2 linked regions of the Nothobranchius furzeri genome follow. The main gene of each other region encodes a partner of the protein of the gene in region 2 in a complex. Links are inferred from orthologs where the notes say so. Each region holds a gene or a part of one and is shown on either strand. Other genes may lie near its edges.

Region 1 (4,299 bases), on a different chromosome or scaffold from region 2:
TCTGAACTGCAATAACTGAGAGGTTCGCCTTTAGTTTTTAACTCAATAAGATGCTATTAATGCAATTTTACATTATGATGTAAAAATTGCACCTCCACGTCAGAAATAGACCAATATATTTGTTGGCCGACATATTTTTATAAATCAGCATCAGCTGATACACCCGTTTAGAGGGGCCGATTTAAAAACTGAAACAGCCACAGGCAGTCCAGTGCTGCTGCAGGATTTTATTTAAATGTGCGTGTGTGTTCCTGATCTACTTAATAAATGTTTAAAAACATTCTTCTTAACTGAAGTATTTTTTGTTTACCCGTTTTTATTTAAGACTTGGTCAGTTTATGATTTGTTCGATTACCTTTGGCTAAATGTTTGATTTTAATACGAGCGGTGCAAAAAAAATTAAGATACAAGAGTTGTTTAAATTCAGAGTTCAACAACGGATCCATGTTCAGAAACGTTGTGCATCATGTTTTTGTCAGTGACATCTAAGCATGCAAATAAGGTGGAAAATGTCGAGTTATCGGCCGCGAACATCGGTAGCAAATATCGGCCATCAGCTGACCATGACCCCCATATATCAGCATCAGTATCAGCATCTGAAAACCCCATATCAGTGGATCTCTACACCTGATTTCCCCAGACACCCAAAAGCTGACGCTTGTCTCCCACTGACCTCCGCACAGGCCTTCAAGCAGGTTTTTTTGAAACCCAGCAGCTCCAGAACATCCTTCCTGGAAGGGTCTTCCTCAGTGGTTTTGATGATAATGTGCCTGAGCACCACGGCTAGTCCTGCCCTGCACAGGCGCCCGCTCTCATCCACCGCTGCCGGGAGACGGCAGCTCCTCACCAGCTGGGGCAGATCCTCCAGCTGGACCCAGCTGACACCAACAGGCACTGGGAGCTGGCTCCTGAAAGCGTCCGAGCAGCTACTGGTGTAAACCATGAACACTTTGAAGGACTTGCACTCGCAGTATGATAGGAGAAACATAACTATGGACGTGTGCAGGGGGAGACGCAGCTCCTCGTTCTGGGAACAAACCTCTAAGAAGAGGGAGAGATGTTGCTCTTTTTTCTCGTTGTGCTTCATTGTAAATAAACTAGAAGGACAGTAAAACAATCAGTTAGTTTTATCATTGTTTTAGTGTTCTCTGTTGGTACTTTTACGTCTAGATTACTTAAATTCAACATATGACCCAAGAAAAATGACTTACCTGAAACAGGCGGACCGGTGTGTTTTGGTGATTCTTCTTCTGCTGTTTTTTCACTAGCATAGCTCCACAGCGCCGCCAGCGGTCTTCTCAAACGTTTCAAAACTCTCTTCATGAAAGAGTAACACCTATGTACAAAATATGTACCGCAAAGGAAAACATACGTGGGATGAATACTTATTTTATTATAACCAAAATAGTATAATAACCACGCGAACGCGAATACAAATTTCGCAAAACGTTCCGCCCTTGCAGACTCCGGACATATTTGTCGGTTACTCAAATGTGAAGACGAAACGCCGACGGAAGTGTTGCTCAGTTTTCCGTTGTTCAATAGAAAGAAAATATTCCGGTAAAACAGAAAATACACCCAGTCTCGGGTAAGCCTGTGTTTATGATAATTATGAGCTTCAATTTTAGAATTATAAAGCGACCTCGGTAACTACCGCGGTGCTTCTGTGGTTGTAGTCCGTCTTCCTGTTTTTACTCAGAAACCAAATATTTGCCAATGTTTAAAGTCATTCACAGCAGTTGGATCGGTGGGACTCGGCTTATAGGCGCCGGCAGTTCTTTTTACTTTGATGAAATGATACTAATTCACAGCATTACGTGAATTGTTATTGTTTGATTTCTAGTGGAAGCGATGGCTGGACCTGTCAGTTTGGAGCTGGATCCCATCTTCCTAAAAGGACTGAGTTATCTACATTCCAAGAGCAAAGATTCAGCTGAGAAGCTCAAAGCTCTACTTGATGAGTCCCTTGCTAGAGGCAGCGATTCCTCTTATCGCTCTTCACAAAAAGTAAGATAATTCATTCTCATATACACTCACCTAAAGGATTATTAGGAACACCTGTTCAACTTCTCCTTAATGCAATTATCTAATCAATCAATCACATGGCGGTTGCTTCAGTGCATTTTGGGGTGTGGTCCTGGTCAAGGCAATCTCCTGAACCCCAAATGCCACGGGCTACCTGAGCATTGTTTCTGACCATGTCCATCCCTTCATGACCACCTTGTACCCATCCTCTGGTGGCTAATTCCAGCAGGATAATGCACCGTGTCATAAAGCTCCAGTCATTTCAAACTGGTTTCTTGAACATGACAATGAGTTCACTGTACTACAACGGCCCCCACAGTCACCAGATCTCAACCCGATAGAGCATCTGTGGAACGGGAGCTCCGTGCCCTGGATGTGCATCCCACAAATCTTCCATCAACTGCAAGATGCTATCCTACCAATATGGGCCAAGATTTCTAAAGAATGCTTTCAGCACCTTGTTGAATCAATGCCACGTACAATTAAGACAGTTCTGAAGGCGAAAGGGGGTCAAACACCGTATTAGTGTGGTGTTCTTAATAATCCTTTAGGTGAGTGTAGAGAAATCCCCTTAAAGAGCAAGTCACCCCCTACCAGAGTCTTACTCCACTCCCACTTCCTGTTTGAAAAATGCAACAAATGCTGTTACCTGGCAGACCGAGGGGGTGGAGCCACTAACAAATACACACACAGGCTCACAATGACTTTGTGACATCATAATGTACTTCTTAGACAATAGCAATGGCAGAGTTTTTACCTGAAGACGACGTAACACTGACAGTTTTAGGCAGATTATTTAAATTTATCTAAGATGCACCAAAGTGCCAAGTTATTGACTACAAGTGTCTACAGCATGATTAGACACTCATTTATATAGTTTATCAGCAAGAAAGAAATTTGGGGGGGGGGGGGGGGGGGGGGGGGCTGACTTGCTCTTTAATGTCATTCGTATGACATTGTTTTAAAACCAAGTGCTTGTGCCTTCTGTGTGATTGTTTTGTCCTCAGGAGGTGGAAGTGTCAAAGGCATCCGTGTCAAAGCTGAGTTTAAGTAAAGAGCCCAAGTCTTCAAGTTCTTCTTCTGGCAGCAGCGGTGGAAGTAGTAAATCCAGCTCAGAGAAAGGCAAGAAAGAAGGCGAGAAGAGGTCATCAGAGAAGGTGTGGAAGACATTTTTCCAATTTTTACTAATGATCCCAGTAATCTGTGTCGTGTTGCTGTTCAATTGGGAAGTAAAAGTGCACAAATGAATGAAAAGTGCATATTATATAACTCTAAAGCTTTAAAGCAGAATCCGATTTAAATATGTGATCAGGTGTTTTTTGTTTGTGTGATTTAGTCAAACTTCCTTTTGTATTTTGCTGAAAAACAGGCCAGGGTTGACGTGAGCGAAGTGGACCCCCCCAAAAAGCCTCGTTTAGAGAAACAAGAGAACCGCTCCTCTCCAATCACATTTCAGACGAGCAAAGACCTCCTACCAAACATAAACGACTACGACGAGACAAACGCTGACGACTTTGCCATGGAAATGGGTCTGGCCTGCGTGGTTTGCAGGTACGAGTAGCCAATCGTGTAGATTTGTCAGCATGTTATTCCCTCAAATTAATCAGATCACCATTTTAAGCAGAAATTCAGTCTTTTTTTTTTAAATAATTAATTCTCTCAGACAAATGACGGTGACCATGGGAAACCAGTTGGTGGAGTGCCAAGAGTGTCATAATCTCTACCACCAGGACTGCCACAAACCTCAAGTGACTGATAAGGAAGTGAATGACCCACGGCTTGTGTGGTATTGTGCCCGTTGCACCAGGCAAATGAAACGGATGGTGAGGAAAATCAAGTCACGATCCTGCATCACCTTTTTAATGATGAACTAACTTGTTTGTTTGTTTGTTTGTTGACCAGGCTCAGAAGCCTCCTCAGAAACCATCCCCTGCATCTGCATCTTCAGCACCGGTTGTTAAAGACCCGCTGGTGAAAAAGACAGAGCTGAAGGCTAAAACCGATACAACCAGCACCTTCCAGGCCTTCAAGAGGACAGAGGTGAAGGTGTGTGTGAGTATTTTAATTAAAAATGACATCCTCAGTCTTGTTTCTACTAACCAGTAAGGGGTTTAGAGGTAAGAAAAGCAACAGGAACAGTTCCTTTTCTTTCCTTAATTGTTTAGAAGATTTGTTTCTGCGTTTGGATTCAGACAATATGGCAGTTTTAGTGTCAAATATATTCAATCTTATTAGTTTAAGACCTTTTAGGGATCATTTACCAATTAGAATACA
Region 2 (3,544 bases):
GATCCCGTCACACTAGAGACAGTCTGGCTCTGTCGCTCAAAGTCGGCCGTCTCCTTCAGGTGACTCTGCAGATAGGCTTTGGAGGCCAGCAGGTACCCATTAAGCATGTGAAGGACGATGTCCATCAGGGGAGGACACCTAAGAACAAGATGAGTTTATTTGTTCTTATTTAGTCATCTAAATAGCAAGTCATTTTGTTTATCCCTTCATGCTCTATATTATTTTATTTTTATACATCATAAACTTAAAACAATACAAAAATACCCTGGTATGTTCTGAATTATTCCTGCTTCTTCCTCTGGGGTTCCTGATTTATTTCAGATCTTAAATACACTAAATGAGTCTTGATGATCATTTAATTATCAGTTGCATTCACATAATGATATCAGTGTATTAATAAATGAATGTGTAACAGATTTGCTCCATATACTAAATGAAATGAGCTTTCTAAGCATCACAGAAAGGGCAGTGCCTGAGTGTCTTGGTAAACGCCTATACACACTTCTCAGATCAGGTTGGTCAAAGTTTACAAACAACCATTTCATTAAAAGTGAACTCACTTCCTGTTTTAGCCAGTTCCGCCAGAGCTTCGTCCAAAGCTCACAGCTCATGCTAAATTACCATCCTATGGGGAATCAAACCAGATTTTTCAGTGGAACAATTGTACAGGCTCAACCGAGCTTCTCACCCTATCTCTAAGGGAGAGGCCAGCCAACATGCGGAAAATAAATAATTTCGGCCGCTTGTATCTCATTCTTTCGGTCACTACCCAAAGCTCTTGACCAGAGGTGAGGGCAGGAACGTAGATCGAACGGTAAATTGAGAGCTTTGCCTTCTGGCTCCGCTCTCTCCACCACGACAGATCAGTACAATGTCTGCATTACTGAAGACGCAGCGCCAATATGCCTGTGGATCTTGCAGTCCATCTTTCCCTCACTCGTGAACAAGACCTTGAGATACTTAAACTCCTCCACTTGGGGCAGGACCTCATCCCTGACACGGAGAAGGCATTCTACCCTTTTCCGACTCAAGACCATGGTCTCAGATTTAGAGGAGCTGACTCTCATCCCAGCTGCTTCAAACTCTGCTACAAACCGCTCGAGTAAAACCTGGAAATCACATTCTGATGAAGCCATCTGGTAATGTATGATATAAGATATGACCATATTTCCTGATATGTGTATTTAGCTTTGTTTGAGCTTGTAGCCAGTCTGGTTACCTGTACACCCTCTGGTCACAGCGCAGCACAATCAGAGGATCAATCATCAGGTCGTTCTGGGTGCAGGTCTGCTGTTGCTGCAGAGTGGCTGATGGTTGGAGGGCGTTTACAGTCATCACCCACAATCTGAAACAAGTCCTCATGCTTTACACACTGAAATATGGGTAAACAAAGTTAATTCAAAGTATCTTGAGGTAACAGGAACATGAAAGCAGAGGAGGGGAGCTGGATCGGTTGGTTCCTGGGTTCTGGATCAACAGTACTTTAGGTTAGGAGAGAACAATGAGTTGCAATAATCCATCTCAAGATCACTTTTTGATTAACATTCTGAGCTTAGTGACCTTCAATAAAACCTGGGTAGGTCAAAACCATCAAAAGACATCAGGGTCGACTTGAGGGATGATGGACAGGATTTAGTACACGTCCATATGAATGGCTCATAAATTCAAGTACACTTGGCTGCAACTTCTAGCACGGGGCAGGGCATGGGATATGGCCAAACTATATCATATATGGAAATGGTGCAATTTCTTTCCAGAACTGAAGAGGGCGCTATTTCCAGCTTCCAACCATGTTTTTGATTTCTATTTAAATTAGATTTATAACGGCCACGAAACACAATACAATTACAACTAAACTTTCGTAATTTATTGATTTTACTTCTATTCCACATTGTTTTTCAACACAAGGGTGTCCTAACATTATTAAATGAACCCTATTTAAGTAGTAATATGAGTTTACAACCACTGTAGTTCAACTTTTATCTACTGAGGTGGAAAAATTGATGAAGGGAATTTCAACAAATTTTTTTACCCCCAACCCTTTTTAATTCACTCTCATTTCAAAACAACTAAAACCTGGAGTCAAATATTCTACATAGATAGCAGTATCCTAAAAACCAGTGTGCGATTTAGAAGACCTTCATCAGATTTGTGAAAGCCCAATTAAGGCCTATTTCAGCACATTTTCTGCATTTGCATCACATTAGAACTGGTCCAGCCCAGAAACTACAAGGTTAATCTAGGCTCTTCAGAGCTGAACTAGATTATTTTACACTAATAGCAGAATGTGTAATTCAGTTTTTGGTTTGTGGAATTTTCTTTGGTGTACTTTATCTGATTTTGTAAATCAAAAATAATAAAACAATGAAAAGACAGTGAAGTTCATTGTAGTTCACAAAGGTGCAGAGGAATTTAAGGTAATGCTTCCCTTGGGTTAATATTCCCCACCTTAATCCATTTCATGTATTTTTTTAAGGTGACTACTTCTTATATGAAGTTCTAGTTTATTTGTATTGTACATACTCCTTACACATTTGAATTCACACACACACACACACACACACACACACACACACACACACACACACACACACACACACACACACACACACACACACACACTATATGTGAAACACTGTATACTAATAAACAAGTTTTATAACACGCAGAAGCATGTATGTATTCGCATAAACCAGTAACATTTATCACTTTACACAAGACTAACACATTATTAAACTTACTCAATATATTACATATAATGAATAATTATAATGAATAATGAGAAAGGTAAGTCTATCGTATTTCAACAAAAATGCACAGGAGCACACAGAGCAAGCAACTAATGCTAGCACTGGCTCCAGCAAAGAGGTGTTCAGGGATACTCAGAAATATGGCAGCTTACATAAAGTCTTTCCAACAGGATCGATTTTTGAGTTTTATGAATAAATTGTGCATCTTTATTAGTAGGAATCGCGATTCGGACATGAATAAGTGTTTTCAGGCATCTCTACTGGTTTGGATCGTTCAGATTTTGAAAACTTGTGAACTTTTGAAAGTTCCATTCCTGTTAAGGTCCTGGAACAAGTTGATCATTCACAGATTAAGACCCATATGTTTCAATCTACGTTCAGACTACACAACAGCACCGAGTCCACTCTGATCGGTGTGCAGAATGACATTTTGGTTGCATCTGATTCAGGGCCCTATGTTTTGCTGCTGCTATTAGATCTCTCAGCAGCTTTTGATACATTTGACCCCAAAATCCTATTAGATAGTCTAAAATACAGGGTCGGTCTTTCTGGTCCTACATTGTGTTGGTTCCATTCTTATTTGGCAAACTGGTTATTTTGTGTGCTGACTGGGTGCCGCAGGGTTCTGTCCTGGGGCCCCTTCTGTTCCCCATCTATCTTCTTGAGGGGTATGGCATAGGCTACCATATTTAAGTTGATGATTGTCAAACATACTTGGTGAAGAATGCACTAAACACAGATTTATTGCTCACAGATTGACTCTCTGATGTGAAGGGGTGGTTGGCAGCCAACTT

What was found. The genes of interacting proteins can lie anywhere in the genome.
Region 1: ints2 (region 2) and ints12 share a complex: the UniProt entries of both Homo sapiens proteins name them as parts of the integrator complex. The link is inferred for Nothobranchius furzeri from reciprocal best matches to the Homo sapiens genes INTS2 and INTS12.

Annotation. Positions count from the first base shown.
Region 1 is NC_091746.1:80,674,764-80,679,062, forward strand, and holds the start of ints12 (integrator complex subunit 12), read left to right. Parts: upstream 1-1,461; 5' UTR 1,462-1,588; intron 1,589-1,843; 5' UTR 1,844-1,851; coding exon 1,852-2,007; intron 2,008-3,032; coding exon 3,033-3,182; intron 3,183-3,394; coding exon 3,395-3,576; intron 3,577-3,688; coding exon 3,689-3,848; intron 3,849-3,927; coding exon 3,928-4,077; intron 4,078-4,299. Other genes in the region: gstcd (glutathione S-transferase C-terminal domain-containing protein), read right to left, coding at 674-1,087. UniProt on the Homo sapiens protein: Component of the integrator complex, a multiprotein complex that terminates RNA polymerase II (Pol II) transcription in the promoter-proximal region of genes.
Region 2 is NC_091750.1:42,350,906-42,354,449, forward strand, and holds part of ints2 (integrator complex subunit 2), read right to left. Parts: intron 1,346-3,544; coding exon 1,220-1,345; intron 139-1,219; coding exon 1-138. UniProt on the Homo sapiens protein: Component of the integrator complex, a multiprotein complex that terminates RNA polymerase II (Pol II) transcription in the promoter-proximal region of genes.